Astyanax mexicanus: one gene and its partners. The protein of the gene in region 2 interacts with the protein of the main gene of each other region in a pairwise test. Links are inferred from orthologs where the notes say so. Each region holds a gene or a part of one and is shown on either strand. Other genes may lie near its edges.

Region 1 (8,825 bases), on a different chromosome or scaffold from region 2:
TAGCAAAATCAGAGAAACTGATTCAGAAACTGAAGTGGTGTCTTAATTTTTTTCAGTGCTGTATGTGTGTGCATATTTGTGTAAAATGGTGTGAGCCAGAAAATAGGAAAAAAATGTGTGTGTGTGTGTGTGTGAGTGTGTGAGAGAGTCTTCCTGTGTGAGTGCTGAGACTCCCTTTAGTGTGAGGGGCAGGAAGAGAGAATGGAGGAAACATTAACGAATCAAAGAGCGGACCCCCTTCACCCCGCGCCGCCCCCCCATCAAAGGTAGCCCTGAACTCTGACCTCTGTAAAAACATGTAAAAATATGTAAAAGACAGAAAAAAGACCAACAAAGCATTCTCTCAGACTGCACACACTCTTACACACACACACTCTTACACACTTACACACACACTCACACATTCCGCACGCCTGCTTCTTTCTCACGGAACTGGCATATAAATTATGTTGTCTCTCAGCCTGAGGTCTTTTCTGATGGAGGACTTTCCCTTTTCTTAAAGCCAGAAATTACACTAACGTGCCAAAAGTCATGGGACAGATGTACAGTACCGTGCAAAAGTTTTAAGCACCAAAGCAAATTACACTTATCCATTTATCTCACCAATATGAGTGTTTTTACCTGAAAAAAAGCATCACATATGATTTAAACAGATGCAAATAAACATACATTAAACATACAGTAAAACGTAACAAGGAATTCTCATTTTTAAGTATGTGTAGAGATTCCAGATTTCTCCTGGATGCTCCTCAGCCAGCATGTGTATATTATGTTCAGTTCCGTCAGCAGCTCACCTGATTTACCACATTTACCAGTAAATTACCAAACCAGGTGTTGATTAATATGATGAGAACTAGAACTAACTCTATTAAACTCAGATTAACAGGAGAGATTAGGAGACGTTTTAAGGAAAAAAGGGCTGTAAAAGCTGTAACTGCTTTTTGTAAAATTGCTGTTTGCATTAATTGTAATGCTGTAATGTGTTTTACTGAGATAATAAACAAACACTTACTGTACAGATAAGAAGCTTTTTCTTTACTGAAATTCCAACAGGTGCCTAAAACATTTGCACAATACTGTATGTATATATATACATATTTCCAAGAGAATTTGCAGTTTTAGATATTAAGATATTATTCAATTCATTTATTACTTTTTTTTAAATAAAATGTAGGTGATTATCTCCTATCTGAGGAAAACAGATTTTATATACAATAGCCCAGCATTATTACATTAATATAAATAATAATAAAAAAAAAACATACAGGTTTGATAAGGGTCCTCTGATTATAAACTTGATTATTTTTTATTCATTAACATTTTATTAATTTCCATCAAAATTAGACAGAAAGGTACCTTACTGATCACAGAGAAAAAATCTGGAAATTTTGTGGGGCATGTTTTATCAAAATTCTCAGGAATCAGTAGATAGCTGGATCAAGTATGGAGGAATGAGACTGGATCCATAGTCCAGAAGAAGTTAGATTGATTCCCAGGGTTCCAGCAGGGTTGGAGGCCACTAGTTTGAACCAATGACTGGTTTGAACCATCCTGTCTAAAATACTCCTGTAATTACACAATAAATCACACGGTGGCGCTGTGGCATCACCAACGCTCCACTCTTCAGCTCTTCTAGCGGCCAGCTGAACTTGATGGATCAGCAATCAGAGGTGCTGTACTGTATTTTACAGCAAAAAATAAATAAACCGACGTGTTTCTTTGGCATCTTTTCATATTTATATATTTATATATTTATATACTATATTAACCAAAAAAGAAAATGTTTTAAAATGATCAGGATTAAGAAACAGAAGAAGAGATTGGAGTAATTGAGTATAAAATAAATTAAAATTGTACCAGTGAGCAGGGTTGTGTAGCTTCTTCAACAAACAAACCAACAAGCCATAAAATTAGTTTTATTATTTTAATACACTGTTACATAGCCTTGCATTCTGCACGAAATATACTGTTAATTATGTATAATATACACGTTTTTGGTTATTACTCACTTCGCGTGAGAGAAGTTGTTTATTAAATTATAAGGTGTAAACTGAGGTTGACAATGTTTAAAACGGCGCGTTTTTGTATTTCCATCTGTTTTTTGTCAAATTGAATTTAATGTCGTCAGCATAATATTCGCTTTAATTTAATTTAAAGCGAAGCACCATCAACACCATTGAGAATCGCTTGCATTAAAATTATAAAGTATTAATATATTAATTAATTCAGCGAGAAATCCGGATCCGTTAAGTTATTGTTTTCGCGTCAACGGGAAATTCTTAACGCGCGCGCGCGCACATATATATATCATACGTGCATATTATAAATAGCGTTGTGCAAATAGCAAAATGTCACATTTTAAATTTTGAAACAGCCTCTCTCTCTAGTTACGATCTAACAGTGTTTGATTTTTTTTATATATATAAACGCTAAATTCGAAAACTGACATATATACCTTTACATATACACAGACATATAAGCTATATATGGGTGTATATATGCATTAGGATGCACCTATTCACCTACTGACGTATATTCATGTGTATCACCCACTTCCATTGTTCACACATTTGTATAACATCAACCTCCAGCCATTCATTCAGGCTAACTGAATTATTAGTGAACAAAAAAAGGGCGGAGCTAAACAGATGACAGCTGGTGAAATGTATTCCCTCCTAGATATTTCACTATCAGAAACCAAAGCAACTTAACCAATAAAGTGTTTAACCAATTCTTTGGTGATCAAAGAACTCTAATGTCTGTTTACATGACCAATTATTAGAAATTCATTTTAATCACACTTTAATTGAAATTTTGTGGTTTTAATATCACATTACTTTAAAGGAGAACTCAGGTGTAAAATGGACTTTTGTTGTAAGCTTGTGTTATGGGATGTAATGTGTTTTAAATATCAGAGCTCTCTGGATTCTAGCAAGGAGGTGTGGAGCTACTTTGAGCTGGATAACAGTTTAAATAGTGATTTATCAGGGTAAATTATGCACCGTATCTCCCAGTCTGAAGGGTGTTTGGACAAACTTAAAATTTCTGGATCTTAGAATGCTGTGGGAGAACGGAGGTGTGCTATTCATCAAATGTAAGTACTTTTTATCATATTTTACTACAACAAAAGTCCATTTACACCTGAATTCTCTTTTAATGTTGGTGTCAGACATCATGGTTCATTTTGTGTTGCGTTTAAACCCTGCCCACTAGATAGCAGTGTTGTACTTGTACTGTTTCTGGATCCTACTGTTTATCTAATTAGAAAAAACAACTACACTGTAAAACCCGACAAGTTGACTAAACTCAAAACATTTGTTGTAACCGATTACCTAATACATTTTAAGTTCATGTAATATAATTTTTAAGTACAGTGAACTTAACAAATACATATACATATATATTTTAAATTATATTGTATTCAGTCTTCTCTGGTTTCGTTCAACTATTTTTTAAAATACTCATAGAAAAGTAGATGAAAGAAAACAGTAAAGAATTAAAAGTACTGACAGCACAGCGAGAACACAAGAGTTACTGCAGCTCAGTAAATGATGCTTGTTCTTACAGCCTACAACACAAAGACCAAGTATTTAATCATAATAAGTGATCTACAAGTTTACCTAAGGTAGCCCAGAGGGAATCATTACACACTGATGGTGAGTGCCAGAAACTGTTGGACACACCCAGTATGCAAATAGATTGTGACAGAAGCCAATGGAAAAGAAGCTGCCAATGGCAACAGACTAAACTCAGTTATTATAAGTTGGTTCAACTCAAAGATCTCAGTTTGAATAGTACAGTATATGTGCCCACAAATTAAGTTCAACTAACTCAAAATAGTTGAGTATTGTTTAGAAATATCCAATTTTATGTAAAAGAGACTTAAATTTGAGTTCAAAAAGCTTCTGGGATTACAGTGTACATTTTATAAATATAGTGTATTTTTTGCTATGAGGGACTTTTCCTGATATTTTTTTTCTTTCGTGTATTGTGATCGAATTTCGAATTGCCATGTTCTTGTCAATACAATATCTGCACGCACGCACAGAGAGAGAGAGAGAGAGAGAGAGAGAGAGAGAGAGAGAGAGAGAGAGAGAGAGAGAAATAAATAAATAATGTAGGCCTATACACTGGATAAGCTAAAAATAATATTTCTTCTTCTGTTGTTTATTACACTTATGCCTGATAATCATTATCAAAAATGTTAATTCACCAGTAGTTTCCTATTAAATAAATGTATACGTCTAAATCAAATGAAATAAATATTATACTTTATAAATATTCTATATCATATTTGTATCAAATTTTATACGAACGGTTTCGTCACTTTCTTTGTCATTTGCTATGTTCTGTATATTGTGAAGTAATTACAGAATACACCTGCTGAACTCTTCCTATTGGTTGTACGTGTGTTCAGCAACATCAATATGTTTTAGATATTGTTTCCACCTATTTGACGTATTTTTTAAAGTAAATTAAACTGATTTATTGGAAGAAACTCTGAACGCTTTTGATTTTGACGTGATCCTACAAGCATTTTATTTTATGTATTTATTTTTTACACATTTTTATCATTCTGCATTAAATAATAATCTATATACCATTAACTGAATTAACTAGCACTGCATTTGAGTGCAGTATCCTACCATAATTCAGTAACGTGCTTCAGTGAGAGCTGTCAGAGTCGCGCCTCGGTCGCCCCGGTATAGCTCCGCGTGCGCGGCTTTGCTCTCCTCCAAACACGCGCTCCGCTAAGTGGAGAAAACGGCGGACTGTGACATGCAATTACTTGTTATGCCTTCTTCTTTCCACGCCCTTGTTCGCACAAAGCCCCGCCTTATTTTTTTTCAAAGAGCACTGTGATTGGCTGGTAGATCATTAGGGTTGTGTGTGTGTTTTTTTTAATCCACCTGTTTTCAGGTTTTCTGATAAACCCAGCGCTAAACTATTATCTGCTGCTGATGATGATGCTTTAACTGTAGTAGGCGGGGTTTAGGTGCGAGTGCGACCTGGCTGGTAGCGAATCATTGTGCAGTATAGTGCAGAAGACTGGTGGATATTAGCCAATCCCAAGACAGGAGGGGCGGGGTTATTGGGAAAAAGGGTGGGAAATGAAAAGCCCACGCGGTGGTGGCGGGCTCCGCGGTTGAGTGCCCTGCTAATGGAAGTACGGGGGCTTGCCTATGTTTTTTTTTTTTTTAGTTGGGGGTGGGTGGTGGGGGGCGTCTCCTGCGCACACACGGTCCATCCCTCTTCCCTTTGGGGCTTTAGTTTGCTTGTGTTTCGTTCCCACAGCTAGTCACATCGGATTCCTCTGGGAAAGAGCGCAAATCGGTCCCGTTTGAACACGGGGAACAGCGCGCGCGGGATCCGTCCGCCGCCACGAGGGTCTCCACCTCTCCCTTTGCCTGATTTCAATATCGCTCATTGATTTTGATTTGATCAGAGCATAAACAAAACAGAAAAGAGGGGAAAGGCAAATAAAGAGGAAAAGAGGAAGGTTGTGGATAATGACATCTGATCTATAGCGCGCCGCCAGAGCCGCCGCTGATGATCATCCAGTTTTTCTTAAAGTGACATTAGATTTTTTTTTATCTCTTCTTTTTTCGCTCACGAGCCATCAGTGAAGATCTGAAGATCTCACCGGGTATCTTATCTCTCACGCGTCTCCCAAACCTTGTGCTTGACAGCGCGAGATTGCTTCCACGCGCTACTTGTTTCTTTTTTTGTTTTGTTTTTATTTTCCTTTTCATTACATTTGAGTAATTTTTTGTACATTTTTGAGTGGACTAGAGAAAACCAAGGAACACTCCGAGACTCCATCTGACCTGTCCAGACTTCAGCCTCGATTTTTACGGAGAGATAATTTTTTTGTGGAGCGATCAGATTTTTGCCAGATAGGACAGAAAGAGAAAAAGAGAGACGGGGACTTGGGGAATAAATCTGGATAAAGAAAAACAATAAAAAGGAAAAGAAGAAGAAGAAAAATAAGTGACTTGGGAGAATAGACAAAAGTCCGCGTGCTCATGTTCGGGATCCAGGAGAGCATTCAGAGGAGCGGGAGTAGCATGAAGGAGGAGCCGATGGGCGGCGGCATGAACGCGGTCAGGACGTGGATGCAGGGCGCCGGAGTGCTGGACGCGGCCACCGCCGCGCAGAGGTGAGGAGAGCCGGCATCACTCCCCGCACATCACTCCCGAGCATCACCCCGCGCATCACCACCGCACTCTCCAACACACAGCAGCCGCTCCATCCTCACACCCAGCCCGGACAGCTCGCTCAGATCCAGCCGATTTAATTCCACGCTACTGTCCAAGCTCAGTTTGCAGTGTATAGACCCACGATTTATTATTAAATTTGATTTTAGATTTTAATGCAGTTTTTGCCACTTGCTAAAAACACGTGAAATGTGATTAAATTTGCTATAAAAGCTAAAACACTTTAGGAAAGTACCTTATGTCACCAGCTTATAAGAGCATATGCTTACTGATTGACTGAATGACAAAATAGAAACAAAACAAAATTGGCAAAAAAACATTACAAAGTCTAAACAAAAACATTGTAAAATTACGTTGAAATTGTAAGTGTGTGATGATAAAAAACAAAAAACCCTTCACCTCTTCTTCTACTCTTGAACTTGTGCCTTAAAATCTAACAGCTAACAGAATAGTGTAATTTCTCTTCTTCATTTCTTTTATTTTCTTTTATTTCATTTTATTAATGAACGCAAAAACTAAACTAGTATAAGCAATAAATAAAGTAATTGTTTTTTGATATCTGCATTTGCTATGGCGTGGACGAATATTATATTTTGTACTTTTTGTTTGTTTTTGGTTTATTTTAAATAAATAGTTATAATAATTTAAACTGTGTTAAATGAACAGCATGTTAAATCTAATGTAGCGTATTCTATATTCTATACTAAGACGCTCTAACAGAGCGATTTGACTTTGATTAATTAATGCTTACACAAAATTAGATCAGACAGAAGCTATCAAATTCAAATACAAGAAAACAATTCCCTGTCAACACACAAACATCCTGATTCTGATTTATTGATAAATCGTACATTTTCTCATGTAAACTGACGTGATGCTCGATTGTCCGACAGTGTTAATTTATATGCGTGTGTTTTGTGTTCGCGTGGCCGCAGTGGAGTGGGTCTGGCCCGGGCTCACTTTGAGAAGCAGCCGCCGTCCAACCTGCGCAAATCCAACTTCTTCCACTTCGTGCTGGCTCTGTACGACAGGCAGGGGCAGCCCGTGGAGATCGAGAGGACGTCGTTCGTGGGATTTGTGGAGAAAGAAAAGGCAAGTTGTGTTTTATCAGAACCGAGCTGAACCAGAACTCAGTAGGCCTGTGGATCTGTCTGATCACATGCAACACTCAAAAAGACAAAAAAAAATTGAAACGGATTTGTAGTTTATAATAAGATTTTGACCTTTTTTTAATTACCGCTTTATTTTTTGTTGTTCATCAAATACAATTTATTAAAAAAATAGGGCCCATACTTCTCATCATAGACCATCTTAGAAGCGAATACCCATTTAAAACCTCAAACAGTTTTGTATATAGTACTTGTTTTAACCAGTATTGAGTGGGTTTTATTTGATTGTGTCACATTTGATTTGTTCTTTTAACAGAAATTAATAGAATGTTTTATACAAAATTGCCGCTAAAAATAACCGCTTAAAATAAATAGACACAGGCGCAGTGTGTTGTGTTTTAAAGCGGCGCAGTCTATAGATTATATACTAATCTGCTTGCTTATTTGAAACTTTATTTTTTTGGCTTATTATTAATCATTTATTAGTAGGCCAGTTCTGGACACTTTTTTGTATAGCTGCTAGAGCCCGCTCCCACTTTTTCGCTTTCTCACTTTTCCACTTTTCTGAAGGCTAGATAGATGTCAGTGCAGCTCCAGTGCGGAGCGGACCGCGTGTGAAACGCGCACACACACACAAACACACACACACACACACACACGAAATATCCATACTATTATTTTGCTATTTCTGTTTTTACGTTTTCTCTTTTTTTCAATCTCTCAGTATCTCATTTCTTAGATTTTCTCAATCTCTCATTTCTTCACTCTTATTAATTTATTTATAAGACGCTATAAATTATTATACTATATTTACTGTGCTGTATGCTGTCAGTTCAGTAAATTTAGCTGTTAGAATCAGCAGATCTGTCTTATTATTAGGTTTATTATAATAAACTGGTTCTGGTTCTGACTGTTGATGATGAATGTCTTTGTTAAACCCAAAGTTTCAGAGTGGTCAGGACTGGATTGGGGATACTGGGGGTCTTACTGGAGTGGGATACTGGGGGTCTTGCTGGGACGCTGCTGAGAGGGGTCTTCCGCTGGTCTCGCGCTCTGCAGCAGTGGGACATAATGTGGACATTTGTTTGTTTTTGTAGGAACCCACCGGAGAAAAGACAAACAATGGGATTCATTACAAACTACAGCTCCTCTACAGCAACGGTAAGCACGTGCAGTCATTTCTTACGTAGTTCAAAGTATTTTTTTTAAGAAATCAGAGAATAAACAAGTTAAAAAAAATAGAAACTAAAATGACGTGACTAAAATTCGCTAAAACATTAACATTAACGCGATGAAATTAATTTTGCTTAAATCCGTTTGTTATAGTTTATATAGTTTAGTGTTTAGTGAAATCGTGTTATTATTCTTATTCTTCTCATCATCCTACTACTATTATGTACTATATCTTTGCTGTCCAATGAAAAACTATTATCTCAGGTATCTTTTTTTTTTTTAGCTCACTACCAAATTTAAACAGACAAATGTTCCCTTACACTAT
Region 2 (8,218 bases):
TCACCCATTGCTGACACAGAATGCAAAGCATAGATAGAAGCATTGGCATTAGAAAGACACTCTTTGGAGCAGACATAATGACAGACTTGAACTAGATGAATATAAAGCCCCCCAGCAGAGTGGAAAGATGTGCTCTATTCAGTGCAGAGACAGTTACACCAACAAACATGTCAGGTCATATCTTTATTAAACATTATTTATATTTATAAATGTATAGCTTATTGGTGCTTATTTTTTCATACCTGGTATTCTTCCTCCAGGCGAGACAGTAGAACTGCCTGCTCTACTGTTAGGTGTCTGTCAATCAACCCCAATGATAGAACCACAGACTTCAGCTGACTTATCACATACTCAAGCCCTGCAGAAATATTCAATCATTTAGTAATTTTTGGAATGACAAATGTGAGATTTACAGAACAGAGATTAATATATAAATAACTCCACTCCTGTTCATTTCTGAAAATGTACGTAAGCAAAAAAGTGTGATACTCTGCTTACAGTTAAACAATGCATGTATATATTTAAATCTAGATTACAAATATCAAATAGATATCTTTTTGCAGAAAAAAATAATACCCGTCACTATTCTGAGGAAAAAAAAAAAACAATGCTCATCCGTACCAATCAGAGACCAGACGTTATAAGATTTAAGATGCTGACGAAAAGTATCCTTTGTCTCCTCTGGGATCTGGGGGCCCATTATGCTGTAGGATGAACCGATGACAACATTGTACCTACAGACATAAATAATGATCAGCCACAGTTACAATGCAAAATGTAATGCAAAGATTATTATATCATTAAAAATAACTATCAGTTTTTTTCACATTTTACCTCTTTTCAATCCACTCCAGAACAGGGTCCCATTCATTTTTCTGAAGTTCTACAAGTCCTGGAGGTTCTTCTACTCTGTAACTAAAAGGAATGCAGGAAGGTCAGATAAAATCGTTCAAAATATTGTTTCCTAGAGATCCATTTCCATCTTCAAAGTTAATGCTTAACAATTAATACCAGCCCTTGCACATTTTATAACCCTCCAAATAAAAGTTTAGCATACCAAACTGTATCTGTCTCTAGAAACTTCAGTGCAGCAGAGATGATCTGGTCTTTGTCCCGCTGGGTCGGGTTATCGAGGGCTGTGTTGCACAGAGTGGTCTACAGAAAACATTAAACATCAACTGAAATAAACTACTTCACAAACAAAAGAGCACCAGAGTCGGACATTTTAAGCTTTAATTAAAGTAACTCACTAGATGCATGGTGTAGAACTTGAGCGTGTCCTTCTGAGCATCCCACTCTGTCGCAACAGCGATAGCAAGGGCTTCATTTGGCACAGTGAAGAGTTTCCCTCCTGGAGTCTTCAGCTTTCTCCTGTCTAGATTGATTTCATAAAGGCCTCCTGCAGATCACAAGGAAGAAAACATTCATCATTTACATCATATTCATATCATTTTAATGAATTTTGTTTAATTACACGATGAGTTACTAAATATAATCAAATTAACTAGTGGTGTTTGGCAGGGACAAACTAAATTTATGTTGTGTCAGCACATTAATACTGAATTCCATATTTAATCAACTTGATGTGATCAATTGATTCCAAGATCCTCAGTTCAAACAACTGTACATATTACATGCTGTAAAACATCACAGGCCTGTCATGGAAGCTCCTAAAACACCAGTTTTATTATCATACAGACATTTTTATATCACAATGGATTAAAAAGCTTTTGTTAAAGATATGCTCAAAATCAGAAATCATCTAAAGTTTGCAGTTGATCAGAAAAAGCCTCCTGGAGAGAAGTTTTAGGGTCAGATGAGACAAAAAATCTGAAGGAGTAGAGCAACCTCAAAGGTCAGTGTAATGTTTATCAGTTCAATTTTCTTACCAGTTGAGGTTATATGAAAAAAATGAATGTAAAAAAAATCATTACTTAATATTTAGTGTAGTATAGTTTTATTATTTTTCACCTCTGCCCCTCACGATTGGAATTTCAGAAAAGAAAAAAAAACACTTTTTAAATCAACTTTGGCATCTTGTAACAAATGTAAGCTTCATATTTGAGACACAAAAGTGGAAAAATAAGAAAATCGAGAGAAGTTTCCCTTTTTTAATTATTTTTTTTATTCTGATTGCAAAATGCTAAAATGAAAAACTAGAAAACTTGAATGAAACCCCAATTCCTTTTCACTATACCAAATAGAAAACTGACATAATTAAGTTTTACAGCCAATTTTCTATTTTCGAAAATTTAGCTTGAAACGTTTAGAAAATGAAACTGCTAAGCGTAACACTACTGTTAAGCATAGTGGTGGTAGCACGATGAAATCTGGTAGATTGCTGCCTAAAACATACCCTTAAACTCTCAGTAAGACTGATAAAGCTGTGATACAACTGTGTGTTCCAACAGGACACTGACCACACACACACACACACATCACAGTTGGTTATGGAATAAATATATATATTAAAAATATAAATATATATTACATATGTCAAAATCAAGCAAGCTGAGCAACACCCAGCCCAGATATTAGATCAATGCAAGGCCTGCGTGACTGACTGCTGTTCAGCTGTAATACAGTACAATACTGTGGAGTGATGCTTACCTTCACCTTGAGAGATCGTGACGTCCCGATAAAACTTCTTACGCTCTGCGAAAATACATTATTAGACGCTTTTAGGCATTTAAAATGCAGCTAAAACACTGTGACAAGAGAACACTATAATAAAACAGAGATCAGTATAATAATAATAATACAGTGCAGAGCAGAGCCCATAGATATCTTATGTATATGATGTCTATAAGCAGAAATTCGCTCACCTGTCGCAGGAGTGGCGTATCTCGCTCTCTGCACGTTTGCTGAACATCCCAATAACTTTAACTCCACCTGCCGACCAGCAAGAGGCACAAGAGCCCGGCTGACCAGCCCGTGAAACCGACATAAACCCGGTAACATCGCGAATCTCAACGTGTGGAAACGAGTCGCTGCTGTGTAAACGTTCTGAAGACGTTAGCAAGTTAGCTTAGCTTAAGTCGCTCATGAATGAATCATCCATTTAGACACTATAGCGCAGAAAATCTGATTAAAATGAAAACAAAACGATCCCACAGTATAAAGTCTATTCAGCCAGCAAATACAACTTCTCCCACGCTGACCTTCCTCTCACGTTGACTTTCGTGAAAAGCTTTATTTTCAAAATAAAAGTCCCAAAGCGTAGTCTCTGCTCTGATGAAACTCTTGTAGAAAAAAAAATACCAGCAGGGGACGCCAAAACACCGCTCATTTTTATGGTACGCGTCCGCTCAAATACTACCCGCACTTTTTACTGACTTTTCTGAGACGTTTTTGAATTCAAATAAAGCAACAGATGTAGTCAACCACAATTCTAAGATTTTAAAATATATATTTATTAATATTTTATAGAAGAAGAAGAATTAGACAGGGAATTTCCCCCAACAATACAACATAATCGTGCCCACCCTTACAACTCTACTCGAACATATATTGGGGAAAAGGTAAATAAATAAATAAATAAATAAATAAAATAATCATAAGATATTAAAGATTTTAGCTATAAAACAGATCTTAACAGAGTCTGCAAAAAAAAAAACTGTATAAACATTGGCTTGGCGTTTGAGTCCTAGGCTTACAGTCTATTAGCATGCTATCATGCTAACAGTGTGTTTTGGCTCTAAGTCAGTAATTTTTCTTAGAATTTTTTTTTAGAAAAGTGCTGTCTTCGCTTTCGTTTCATACACACGCAAATAGAAAGCTAAACAGAAACCTGACTGAGTGGGTGCTTTACACTGCTACTGACTCGTTCAGTTTATTAGTGATTCATCGGCTCTACACCCAGTACCTATTCTGTGCCTGTTTTGTGGGAAGAGCTCATTATCGCTGGTCTATGCACAAGAATTCCATCAGAAGCACACAATTCCATGCATCACTTCACTGTGTGCATGCTTTTTTGAAAAAAAAAAAAAATTGCCTTGAATACAAAAAGTCAAGCAGCATCAAACAGTGCCTTTGGGATGTGCAGCATTTCAGCAAGCAGGAGCTAAAGAAAATTCCCTAGCTCCTGTCATAACAAAGTGATTTAATTATCACATACTGATGGAGAAGGAAGTAATGCGATAAGTGGAAGCAGTTACATAACAAAATGAACCAATCACGCAGCCCCAGGAGCAGATAACTCCCATACCTGGAGTGGAACATGCTAGTGTCAACCTGAAGCGAACCCCAGTCCAAGATCAGTGCTCTGGACCAAGGCTGGGTTCAAAAACAGCTTTTATTCTTCTCTGAACATACCAAACCAAACTCACTGAAGCAAGCACTCCCATGTCCAGAAAAAAAGGTGAGAGTGAATAAACCTCAAGAAAGCTATCACTTTAAATGATTCACTCATTTTGCAACAGTAGCCACAAATAAGGATGCATGTCTGCCACAAGATTTACCACACTTCATTCTTTAGGTTTTTGGAAACCAGTCATTCAAGTCAGTAGATACTTCAGTGGAAAACCTATAAAAATAATCTCTTCAGAGGAAACGCTAGTTCTTATAAATATGGATAGATTTTCCTATAAGTTTCATCATCTGGTCTCATGACATAATTTTTCAGCTTGTCAGCTGTTTCCTGTTCCATTAAAAGACAACTTTCCAAACATACGTACATATGCTCACACTCCCCTCCAGACGTCCTGCAGACTAGTATAAAACAAAGTGATCTTCTATGCTCACACAAAATATTAGGTCCAAGGAATTTGTGCAAATCGGCAAAATATTTTGTTTGTTAAACTGTTTAATATATCTGTGTTATAACTGATCTACAAACAACAATGTGTTCCCATACTAGGTGACTCACATTATCGTCCATTGTTCTTAATGCAGAACTGATACATATACTGTATATTTATTTACTGGAGCCCTGCTGAGTTTACAGCCTACTGACGTGTCTAAATACGTCTCTTGGGATGGTTACCACATCTTGTTGAAATTGTCTAGGTTCTTCTAAAAGTACAACTTTGTTGAAAAATAAAACCAAAACTAAAAATCAGACAGAATCAATTTTAAAAGAAAGGAGAAGACAGCTTTATTTAGCAGGTAGTTTCAATCTTACAAAGCAGATCAGAACCGGAAGTCTTCTGATTTAAAGAGTTAAAAACATTAGGTTTTATGCATAAAAAAAATGGTTGACCATTCTCAGTGGGCTGGGACACAGGTGGGCTTCAGGCTCCACTTACTTAACCCCTTCGGTTTCGTCATTATGTCAAGTCAGGATCTGTTTATTAAAAGCAAGCTTGAGCGTCCTCAGAAGACCTCACCTGCCTCGTTCGCTCTTATCTATCTTGCTAACGAGCTATTGGCCAGCATACAAGGAAAAATTGTTAACTTCTGAAGCGAGACCTCGGAGGCTGGTGCCTCCCTATTATTGGCCTGATGATCTGTTAATTAAAAAGACTCTTGAGTGTCCTCAAGAGACCAGGGCCGGTTGACCTCTTACACACACACAGGCCCGTTTGAGCAGTCACTTGCTCGTTACAGTTATATTGCATTAACATATAGTGTACATAGCTATAAGGAAACTAATTTTAATTACCGCACTACCTAAATTTTTCAGTGTACAACTCAGATAAGGCCATGCTTAAACCCCTCATGGTTGCATCTCGTGCCCTGATGGGGCCCATCACTGACATCCATATGTGGGGCCCATATGAGGGGCCCAACTGTCTCAGTGCTAGTACTGTCTTCAAGGGAATAAGTTTCATCCTTTGTATTCCTGCAGCCATCTGTTGCTTAGATAAAATCACGAGAGTCGTGCTGCAGTCGAGTCACGGTCGCGTCATCTCAATCATTCAGTGTGGTTAGGATTGAAAGTTTTAGTCAGTCATGCTCGCGTCTGGTGGTTTAATATTTTTAATATTATCGTAAGTCTGGAGACTTGGCTCATGCAAATAGTGACTTTAACAATGTCAACAACCAATAGGAGAGCTACGGGAAACTGCAAAGGAAGAATATTCTTTGTGACTATTTAGAAACAATTTGAATAAGAACACATTTTACAATTAATATGCCTTATATGGTTTTTACTTTAATATATAGTGTATTTTAAACACAGGCAGCACTTTAAAGTCATTATGTTTAAAGTTATTTTATTTTGCACAGTTATTTTTGTGCAGTGTTATTTGTGATACAAACAAGTTCAATAAATACACATTTTTCAAGAATGATGTTCTTTATTGCATTAATTCTATCTTAAACAAAGCCAAATGTATAGCCGTGAAACTGTGATCCTTTGCTATACAAGTTTGTCGAAAAAAATGGGGAAAATAAACTTATCGGCAGTTGTTAAACACAAAATTTATTATAGTAAAAAAATATCCAGAACTAATAAAAATTAACTGTTGATGGGGGCAAACGTTGAAAGTCTCTAATAAATCACAGGATTGATATACACATTATTTGTAATTTAATTTCTAATATGTATTGTATGTAAACTCCACCAGAAGCATGATGGGAAATAATCTTAGAAAGAATCTAGTTGCAGTCTTGCAATTAGTGATCCCCAGTAATCCCCCTGCAAAATCTTAGCCTGTGACGAGTCTGTGACTAAACAGTCTGTGACTTCTCTTTAGATGTGAGGGGGTGTCAGACTTTAGTCTGTTAAAAGTCTTTTCAGAGAGTTAAGTAATGTATGGATAGCATAAGTGTGCTGAGCTGTCTAATGACATTGAAAAGAAGTCCACAGTCCACAAGACAAAACTACACAGATTTGAATTTAAATGTATGAGAGATTTTATTGAGTATTATATCTTTGTTTAATCACTATAAAAATAAAACATTGTAACCAATTTTGTGATTATTCCAGTGCTACTCTCATTATGTATTATATATTACACTGTGCAGTTTTTAATGAAGAGACAGCAGTGTTATGGCACTTTCTTGTACTGAAATCTTATAATTGAAGTATGTATGTAGTTTTTTTTATAGTATAAATTTATCTCCATTTATATATGTTCACACAAACAGAGAAATTACTAATTTTTAAATAATTGTGTCTGTAATCACACATACTTGTAATAATTCTGCTTGTTTAGCCTACAGTTATGCCCACCCATTCACACTAAAGTTATAAGGAGTGTTTCAGCCAGCACAACTTTTTAAAGTGACCAATATGTGTATTTATTTCCTTTACCAACTCATAAAACGATCAACATGTGTAATCAGACACTAATGAAACATGCTAAGTTTAAGTTCTGGCACCCTTTTAACACCAGTTTTTCAGCCAGTATGCTTTTCTTTGAATTGTCCATCACAGAGCAGAAATCTGTTTGTATTTTAGTTTCTGATTTAGTAGATATTTTTCCTTTAACTGCTATAAAATACTCAGTATTGACTTCTGCATTTACTGCTCTCTGAAATCCTTCTCTTCCTTTAATGGCTGTGTTGCTCAATCCACACATTTCAGAATCTGCCAATTAAATAAACTGGTTGCTCAACAGAATCAATATGACCATAATTTGTTGATGACTTGCCAGTGAACAAACACAGTTAAAGACATCATAAACATGGTAACTGACTCCATATTGACTTCATTAACAGGAAACTGCCAAGTTGTACTTTTTTGTAAGGCGGTGATCTGTTAGAAATGGCTAACGGTACATTCATAGGTCAAAGTTTAGTACAGCCACATCACACAAGCATATCAGTAATCCATGTGTATAAATGAGGAGAAAGTGTGATAGTGCACCAGTACAGTGATTTTGCCATCGTTTTTTTATTATGCTGATCTAATGTGTTCTTCCTAGAAATGAAACACACCAACATATTTTTTTAAAATCTACAATTAGCCTGCTGAAAATTCCAGTTTAAGACTAAGACCCCATCCGCATGAATCCATATATTAAAAACACATTTTGTATACATTTTGTCCTGGCATCTACACAAAAACTGCATTTTAGGTAATAAAAAAGTGAGATTTTAGAAATCGCATTTAGTGTGTGTTGCGTTTAGTTGTGGTCAGGCTTGTTCATGCTGGTTATTCAGTTTTATCCTATTGGTCAAACACAATCAGCTTAATAATGTTTTTTTCTGCAGGGTGTCCTTAATAATAGTGTGAAAACCCAGCCAATAATTTGATTGTTTTATTGTAGCGTTATTCTGTCCAGTGTTATAGTTTCATTTAACATCCTATGTTGTTTTATTTCCTTATTTT
Region 3 (8,733 bases), on a different chromosome or scaffold from region 2:
GCTTCACCCCTGCGCCTCCCATGGAGGTTTTTGGATTTTTGGTTTTGGCAGATCTTAATTTCAGTGAGAACAAATGGAGACGAATTGAGAAATGTTGCATTTTCCTTTTTTTTCCCCATTCACATTTCCATAAACCACTGTTCTGCCCCACAGGTGTACAGAGAAGCATTGATATGTATTTAAAAAGAGGCTTACTATTCATTTTTTTGGGGTTCCTTAACCTTTTATTTATATTTGCTTATTTGTACCATATAACTTTTATATCGCAGGCATTGCAGTTGGGAGTTTTTCAGAATGTCATTTTCACTGCTCAGTTTTGAAAATTCTTGTTTATATTCTTGCTTTAGATTAACTACTGTATATCTGTACACATTATATAGTAGTGTAAACACACCAATCTTTTCCTTTTTTTTTTTTTTCTTTCGTTTTTTTCTTAGGGCAAAAAGTTGTATTTCAAAACGTATTTTTGTATGTAATGTATTCTGCCTCCTTTAAACTGAGACCATAAAATTTCACAAAACCCCATCAACAGTGTGTTTGTCTTTACTGCTCATCTGTTTATAGAACTCTGTAAATTCCATTGTGTTGCATTGGAGAGTATATTTCCCCATAGGAAGTTTGGTGGAATAATACTTTTCTGCTCCTGCGCTGGACAGTGGGCCGAAGGAAACCTCAGGCACTCTGCCTCTGAGAGGAAAAGACAAGCTGTACTTAATCTGGCAGCGTGATTTAACCATTAAAACCCTTTCACATGGTGCAAGAAGTTTGAGGTTGTGGTTACTGGAAGTGAAGGAAGGAGGAGAAAAGGATGGGTAAATCCATGTATTACTTTGAAATGAGAATAGTAGTTAGTGTTTAGTTTATTTCTTAGGTTAAAAGTAATAAATTAAATACTGAATATGTTTTTTTTTCTTTTTCGTGTTCGGGAGAAAAGGGGGAAAAATAGTTTTCAGTTAAAGCTACTTGTTTGAGGACAAACCATCGCTCCACTTGATTGTTGTATTTGTTTATTGGCTGAGAAAAAGGTTCTGCCTTGATTTTGACTATGTAGCTGTAGTTCTCTAGGTGTGTAAGTGTTTAAAGTCGCCAATTTTCATTTTCTTTACCTGACCAGTCCGCTGGATCTTTATTACTTCCTTGTTCGTGTTTGCTTTCTGGGAGATTCCCATTCGCCAGTGTGCGCAAGTGACGTGGCGAGGGGATTCCCCTTTCTTATGACGGCGGGTAAGAGCAGTGATCCAGTCCCCCACAGCCGGTCCACACCTACTACTACAGCCCCCTCTAGACCGCTCAATTAGCGAATAGCCTGGATGGATTCGGGTACCGCAATGTGAAATGTAGCACAGGAGGTGATTGCACACATGGCTCGTGCACTGTCGGGTGAAAAATGCTCTTCAGATATATTCTTGCTTTTTTGATTCAAGAGGCTTTTATTATCATTTCATCTAAGTTCAAAGTGAAATGAACCAAGATGCAGCATGGAACAAACAGTACTGTATAGACGACAAAAATGCAAACGTGCAACAATAAAAGAGCACCATTTTAAAATGGTGCACTTTTATTGTAGATGTACATTCTGAGGTACAGCATATAATTAAGGTGCAGCTGCTGATTACACTAGAGGTAGGGAGGTAACAGCTTAATATTAAACTAGAAAGTTCTAGTAAATCGCCTAGACCCTCAGTTGATCAAATCATTTGATTTTACCCCACTCGCATAACGGCCTACTTAAGCTACTTTATTATCACCTCAAGACTATTGTAAAAGCGTTCCAAGATGGAGCCATCTTTAATAAAGGCTATAAATTTATGAATATTGCGTTGCTGTTGTGTTTTATTATTGAGTCTGCATTTTAGTCAGCAACATAGCTAAGGCCATAAAGCTAGATAGAAATGCTGTTCAGTTCGTGGCTGTTATAATTAAATTACAACTTTTTTTTCTGTCGTTTCAATAAATATATATTTATTTATTTTATATATGTTTAGGATTATTTCTGCTTGGTTCTGGTGCTCAACTCTATGAAAAATCTCCTCTAATTGCTCTTTTTCAAAATAATAACAAACCTTTTTTTTTGTGTGTGTGTGTGTGTTTACATGGGGAAAAAATCTATTATTTTAGGAAGATATATTAAAAGAAAGAAAGTAATGCAAACTCTGCATCCTAAAAGGCAAAGTGCATACAAAAAAATAAAATGTTCATTTTTGGTTTAATTACATCTTTTAATGTTGTTGAAGAAAAAATGCCAAATTGCCATTGGTTAATGTTGAAAGTTCTACATTAAATCACCATTCATTTAAAGGTAATAACAAATAATTGTTATAAATATTTAATGTAAATTTAAAGTGTTTAAGTAAGTTTAATGTAAACAATACATATTAAACCAAAATGTTGGCTCAATATGAAATTAATGTGCACAAATATCAAATCAATTGTTGGAGGTCCACATTGTTTGGAAGAAAATATGAAGATTAATCCAATGTTCATTTGCCCTCTCGGTTACAGTCTATGAAAAATAAATGTATAAATCTGATTATTAACTCATTTTTAACAGCCCTGCATCTAATCCTCGTTGCCATTATTGTAGTGTTGTCAGATAAATATGTACTTTGACATTTTTATTAAATAAATAATTAACGTTACTTATAAGTATCCTTACAAAACACACTTGATGAATACATAAAGCACATTAAAAAAAGAATCATTTTTTCAGACATATTTAGGCAACTTGTTAGAACTTACATCATGTGCTGTATGTCATCTAGCCAGTCCATCTCTCTCTCTCCCCTGAAGTCTTGTACAAAACCTACATTTGAAAGTTTTACCCATAGACCTGTACTTATATATAAGTATTTATACAAAATCTGTGGTTTCACCCTAATTGTGGCTCAAGCTCCATTTTGATTTTAAATGTTTTACATGAAATTGTTAAATTACCTGAAACAGTAAGTCATTTCCAGCAACCGATAATAGACATTGTTGTCAAATCCTTGATTCATGTGTTCATTATTGGATCCTGTATTATATTACTGTGCATGTTCTCAAATTTCTTATGACCCATACTGCATATGCGCTTTCACAGGCCCTGCTTAAACCAGTATCTGAGTTCAAGTGGCATTTCAATTGTTCTTGACACTGAATGTAATCACAAAATATTCCCAGCAGTGTGTTAACTTGTCCCAAGTGTTAAACCACCCCACATCCATATACAGGATATTCCTGCAGCAAAGAAGGGGCACACATCCTACTAGCAAATCTTTAAGAAACAGAGCAGCACTCTTGAAGATCACTCAAATGTTCTTGGGAAAATATGGTATGAAAAGTGTAGTTGCTCATATGTTCTGAGGAAAAGTGACCAGCAAAGGTCCAAACTCATTAAACAGTGTTGGTTAGTATGGCATGGCACAGACAGTCAAGGCCCTTTTGTAAGTATGTAAGGATAATGCGTGGATAACTGCAGTTCAGATTTGATCGGTTCCTCACACATAGGCCAACAATTGAATCTGCAAAACACAAACATTAGTAGTGAGTAAATGGTATATATTGTCGTATACATAAATCAACTGTAAGCCTTCACCCTTTGGCAAGCTTTCTGACAGTCTGTAAACATGATTTAACCATACTGATCATTCCCAAATGAAAGGAGCAGGAGCAAACAATAGGTTGTGTGAATGTAACCAAGAACTAACAATAGGGAGAATATAACACTGTTAGAAAACAAAAGAATGCACAGTTGTGTGTTTTATTAATAAAAAAAGTTGTTCTACCCAAAATTACTATAATAAAAAAATCTGACACAGAATAGGTATTATTTGGGTGGTGGGTCATTCTCGGCATTGCAGTGACAATGGACAGCATCCTTTGAATACTAAATAAGATCTCCAGCGGCACTGCTGTGTCTGATTCACTTGTACAACTGTGACACACACTAATACTCCACCATAAGGTCAGTGTCACTGCACTGCTGAGAATGTCTTAATATGTTGTGGCCACAAGTTTTTGTTATTTTTTTTACATGATGTCACTGTAAGGGGCGCCATAGTAAAACATTTGTATGACATTAGAATAATTATAAAAATATATAAATACACAATAGTTAGTAATCAGATATGTTGTTGGTCAGTAAAGTTATTTATAGGCTGAGTATCAAATTATTTAAAAGAATTAGCTTTGCTGAAGAACTATTTGGTTGGTTTGGTTGGTCCTTCAGTGAAGGACAAATTGGATAAATTAGGACGTGGAGGATAACTGTAAATATTCAAGTCTAGTCAAATGAAGTAGTTTTATTGTCAAAACTGCATTTGTACAGGACATACAAAGAATTGAAATTACATCACTCTCCTTCCCAAAGTTACAACAAGTAAAGAAAGTACAGAAAATAAGAATATAAATATAACAGAATGAGGGGCATTAGATGTACAATACAACAAGGGCACAAATACGTATGTGAGACAAAAGACACAAGACAATAGTGCAATAGTGATGGGGAGGGGGGGTTAACTAGGGATTGATGATACAGTCATATGAAAAGTTTGATTCTGATTAAGATTAATAGGGGTGCCCAACCTTTTTCATTTGACTGTATGTATAAACATAACCATTATAACAGTAGTGCAAATGTAGAGAAAAAAAAATTAAAAACCTAAGACTGGTAAAGTGAACGAGTGCATACAGTTCTTCTAAAAAATGCACAGTTGTAGGGGGAATTGAAGTTGTTTAAATTATTTTTTACAATTAAATTATTTTTGAAATTAAAATTATCATATTAAAATTATTAGGAATTAAAATTGTTAGGCCTTCTCGTGGTTTATTTAAACCCAGCTTACCTATCAGATAAATAGCTTTATAGACAATTTTGTTTAGTTCTCATCATTTTTTAATTATTTAGATCTTTATCAATGGACCAATAGAAAAATAAAATATTTTTTATTGATTTCTACTGATTTTTTCAAGCCTTTAAAAGTTTTAAGCTTTTACGTTGCCTTTTTTGGAGAAACGTTATGCGTTTTGTGTGATAGCGATAAAACAAATACATTTTAATCAAAATAAAATCCATTTTTTTAATGAAGTGCTACGTATAGTCTCCTGTGTGTGTGATTGGCTATGGACGTGCGGGGGGGGCGGAGCCAGGCGGCGGGGGGAATTCCCAAGCGCCCTTCACCTCTGGAGTAACACTTCACTCATTCACTTCTGAACATTCACACACACTCACGTACACACACTGATCGCTGCAGCAAGGGGCTCCACTAGAATGGATGGTGAGTTACAAGCTATTAATTAATTCACGCCTTTTAACAGCTTTCCTAGAATAATTATAATATCTGTGATATATATTTATATATAATAGGAGTACACAATCATCCAGACTGAGAGCTGTGACTAGTATAGCCTGCTGTTTTTGTTTGGTTAATGGATGTGATATGGAATTACATGAAGGTGTTAAACAGTTTTCAGTCAGAAGGTTAATGGATGGGGCTAGATTAAGATTTCTATGTGTTTACGTGTTTGATTCTAGTAATTGTTTTGTTGCTAGATAGCTTGTTACTTGTTGTAACTTGAATAACCAGTTCTCATGTGTTAAATTACTGATTGCTGCTTGTTTCACAATGTTTCAGAGGGAGTGTCGACTAGAAACAGTATGAAAACCAATCAGTGCATATGTTGTGTATATTATGTTTATAAATATAACTTCCTGACAAATTATATTAAAAATAAAAAATAAATAAATACATGAATAAATAATAATAGTAATAATATTTGATGGTAGAAAGTAAGCTGCCATAAAGATTTGACTAAAATCCATGACGAATAGGCTAGTCTAAATCTGCACCAGGAAATCAAAATGAGGAACCTCAGACTACTGGTTTTGACTTCAAGTTCCCATTTGCAGTATTGTCAGCAAATGCCTTGATTTTGCACTTGATTTTTCAGCTTATTGTTATTATATAATGTCCTGAAATATTTTGTCCTCTTTTTTTTGCACAGCTCATTTTCCCCCAATGAACAGTAAGTTCATATCATTCTTTTTAAAAAAGTGTAAAGCTTTTCTGTACAGCCAGCATGCTTATAACTATCTTATAACTATAACTGCCTTTATAACTTTCTTTTCTTTGTCTGCTTCCTTAATTTCTTTATTTCTTTTTTTTGTTCTACCACGGTTTGGGTTGCTTGGTTAAGGTAGTAGAGTAGTAGAGTGACAGCCACTTCCTGTCTATATGTGTGTGTGTGTGTGTGTGTTAGATAGCAACATGCAGAGCAGGTAGAGCAGAAGTGAGTACGTGAGGTCAGCTCAGGTAGAATATATCGCTGTACAACACAGTTATAAGGACTATATAAGGTCTGTGTGTATATACGTAGCTATACGCAGCTATACACAGAGCAGGAAGAGCAGAAGTGAGTGAGTGAGTGCTTGAGGTTAGCTCCTAGGTAGAAGATATTGCACAGATATTACACACAGCTATAAGGAGGCTGTCTGTGTGTAATTTATTCAGATCAAATCATTCTCATCCTCGTAAGTACAGTCTTAGAATTGTACAGGCCTGAAATGTGCTGAAATGTGAGTACAGGCAGTCACAAGGCAGACTGTCTTATTTAGACATCTGCACATCTGTATGACGAGAGGAACCTTACAACAGGAGCCGTGAGAGCCCTGAGTGTCATCTCGTGCCACACACAGCTGTGTAGTCTGAACAGGTGTTTAACAGAGCTTCGACAATCATAATCATCCTTTGTGGTCCACTGTGGTCCACTGAGATGGGAGCACTTGTGAGAAATACACTAGCAGGTGTAGCCGAAGGGGAAATTATTTGATGTGAGTTGTGTGTTGGCAGTGGTTTGAGCAGATTCTGAGGAATGTGCTGTGGTCTGCAGATGTTTAGATGTTTACAATACAGCGGGTCTCCGAACAACCTCAACATTTCTTCTAATCAATATTATACTGTCTGCCTGCTGTCTGCTTATCTGACTTGATGCTTGCTTAAAACCTGTCCATAATTAACTATATATCATAATCTTTGCCCTTATTCATTTTTTTTTTACATAAAAAATAAAATGTTTTAGTTCGATGTAGATTTCTTTATTAGTCAAGGCACTTAAAGGTACAATAAGTAGTTTTTCTGAAAAAGACATGTTAACAAAAACAATGTTTACCAGCCATAGGGTCTGCATCACATCAGCTTAAAATAAAGCAAACAAACATGTAGCAAAATTCTACATATTGCACCTTTAATAATAATTATAATAATGTAACTTACACAATAGAAAAGAACATAATGAAAAAGAAAAACAGATTACTCGCAAAAAGGAATATGGGGTGATATGTGGCTATTCATATGGATGGATCAGTTAGTTTCTGTGCCTTCTAAAATTAGCTGATTAAAACTGTTGTATATTAATTCAGTCAATACTCACTGCCTGACTCCCGTTCTCTTTCTTACCCTGTCTTTCATTAGTGGGAGAGCCCTGTGTTCAGATCTTTGAGCAGCCCAAACAAAGAGGCATGCGCTTCAGGTATAAATGTGAGGGCCGCTCAGCAGGCAGTATACCTGGAGAGAAAAGCTCTGATAATAACAGGACATACCCAAGCATTCAGGTACAGATTATTATTATTTTTGTTTTAAATAAAGATTTCTCCAATACATTACTTCACGATTTCTCTGTATATTGACCATTTTTCTAACTAACTACTAAATACTTTCTTTATTTCTTGTCAGATTTTGAATAACTGTAGAAAAGGAAAAGTGCGTGTGTCTTTGGTAACCAAAAACGAGCCCTACAGGCCACACCCACACGACCTGGTGGGAAAAGACTGTAAGGATGGCTACTACGAGGCAGAGTTTGGACCTGAACGCAGGGTGATTGCGTAAGTCAGCACTAGCTGTTAGCTAACTCATGAAGGCTGAATTAAAACATGCTGAATCGTAATGTTTTATACATTATATTTACTTTACACTCAGATGAAATTGTACTATAAATGAAGGAGTCAGTAGACAATGTTTAAAAAAAATCTGTTAACTAAAAAGATTCACAGTTTTTTTCTTTTTAAATCTCCTTTTGTCTTGTTGCCATTTTTTCCTAATGAAGTTAAAGCATTACTGAGCTCTACATCAAAGTCATTCCTGTCTGCCTCTTCTCTTTGTGGAGCTTAATGTCAGAATACCATACACCCACATATCCACACCCACACACAAACACTATGTACATGCTGCTACAGACCTCTGTCCATCTTTTTTTAATATAAAAAAAAAATGATCTCAGAGAAGGGAAACAGCAGGGGGATTCCCCTAATATGCAAAATGCGTACCTTAGAGCTGCAGTGTTTTGTCCATCCCCCAAAATTATCTGCCTGGCCATCTCTCATGATTCACAACCCAGAAAATCTATATAATTGCTTTTGATGTGGTTCGTGTTGGATTTTGAATGAATGGAACCATAAATGTGTATTTATTTCACAGCTTCCAGAACTTGGGCATCCAGTGTGTGAGAAGAAGAGAAGTTAAGGATGCCATAATGCAGAGAGTAAACAGAGGCATCAACCCCTACAATGGTGAGATCAGATTTTCATATTAGTTTTTTTATATCGCTCTTACTAGTCGTCAGAAATCAGTCTCACAAAGTGTGTTCATATTAGGAGAAGTAAATAGGTCAAATGCATGTTGACACAAGAAGCTCACTGTAAATCACTACACCATACAGACCAGTGACTGACTTCCTTTATGTTATTCCTATAGTCATTGT

What was found.
Region 1: the proteins of atpaf2 (region 2) and ebf1a interact in binary tests that used the Homo sapiens proteins (3 or more experiments, as listed by UniProt). The two-hybrid records come from large-scale screens. The link is inferred for Astyanax mexicanus from reciprocal best matches to the Homo sapiens genes ATPAF2 and EBF1.
Region 3: the proteins of atpaf2 (region 2) and rel interact in binary tests that used the Homo sapiens proteins (3 or more experiments, as listed by UniProt). The two-hybrid records come from large-scale screens. The link is inferred for Astyanax mexicanus from reciprocal best matches to the Homo sapiens genes ATPAF2 and REL.

Annotation. Positions count from the first base shown.
Region 1 is NC_064417.1:50,637,920-50,646,744, forward strand, and holds the start of ebf1a (transcription factor COE1-A), read left to right. Parts: upstream 1-5,261; 5' UTR 5,262-6,026; coding exon 6,027-6,160; intron 6,161-7,153; coding exon 7,154-7,310; intron 7,311-8,424; coding exon 8,425-8,488; intron 8,489-8,825. UniProt on the Homo sapiens protein: Key pioneer transcription factor of B-cell specification and commitment. Recognizes variations of the palindromic sequence 5'-ATTCCCNNGGGAATT-3'.
Region 2 is NC_064422.1:24,662,324-24,670,541, reverse strand, and holds the start of atpaf2 (ATP synthase mitochondrial F1 complex assembly factor 2), read right to left. Parts: upstream 3,199-8,218; 5' UTR 2,962-3,198; coding exon 2,826-2,961; intron 2,656-2,825; coding exon 2,611-2,655; intron 1,400-2,610; coding exon 1,251-1,399; intron 1,156-1,250; coding exon 1,058-1,155; intron 916-1,057; coding exon 835-915; intron 735-834; coding exon 622-734; intron 359-621; coding exon 243-358; intron 1-242. UniProt on the Homo sapiens protein: Plays a role in the assembly of the F1 component of the mitochondrial ATP synthase (ATPase).
Region 3 is NC_064414.1:37,478,173-37,486,905, forward strand, and holds the start of rel (proto-oncogene c-Rel), read left to right. Parts: upstream 1-5,169; 5' UTR 5,170-5,248; coding exon 5,249-5,255; intron 5,256-5,982; coding exon 5,983-6,003; intron 6,004-7,448; coding exon 7,449-7,588; intron 7,589-7,709; coding exon 7,710-7,858; intron 7,859-8,450; coding exon 8,451-8,542; intron 8,543-8,733. UniProt on the Homo sapiens protein: Proto-oncogene that may play a role in differentiation and lymphopoiesis.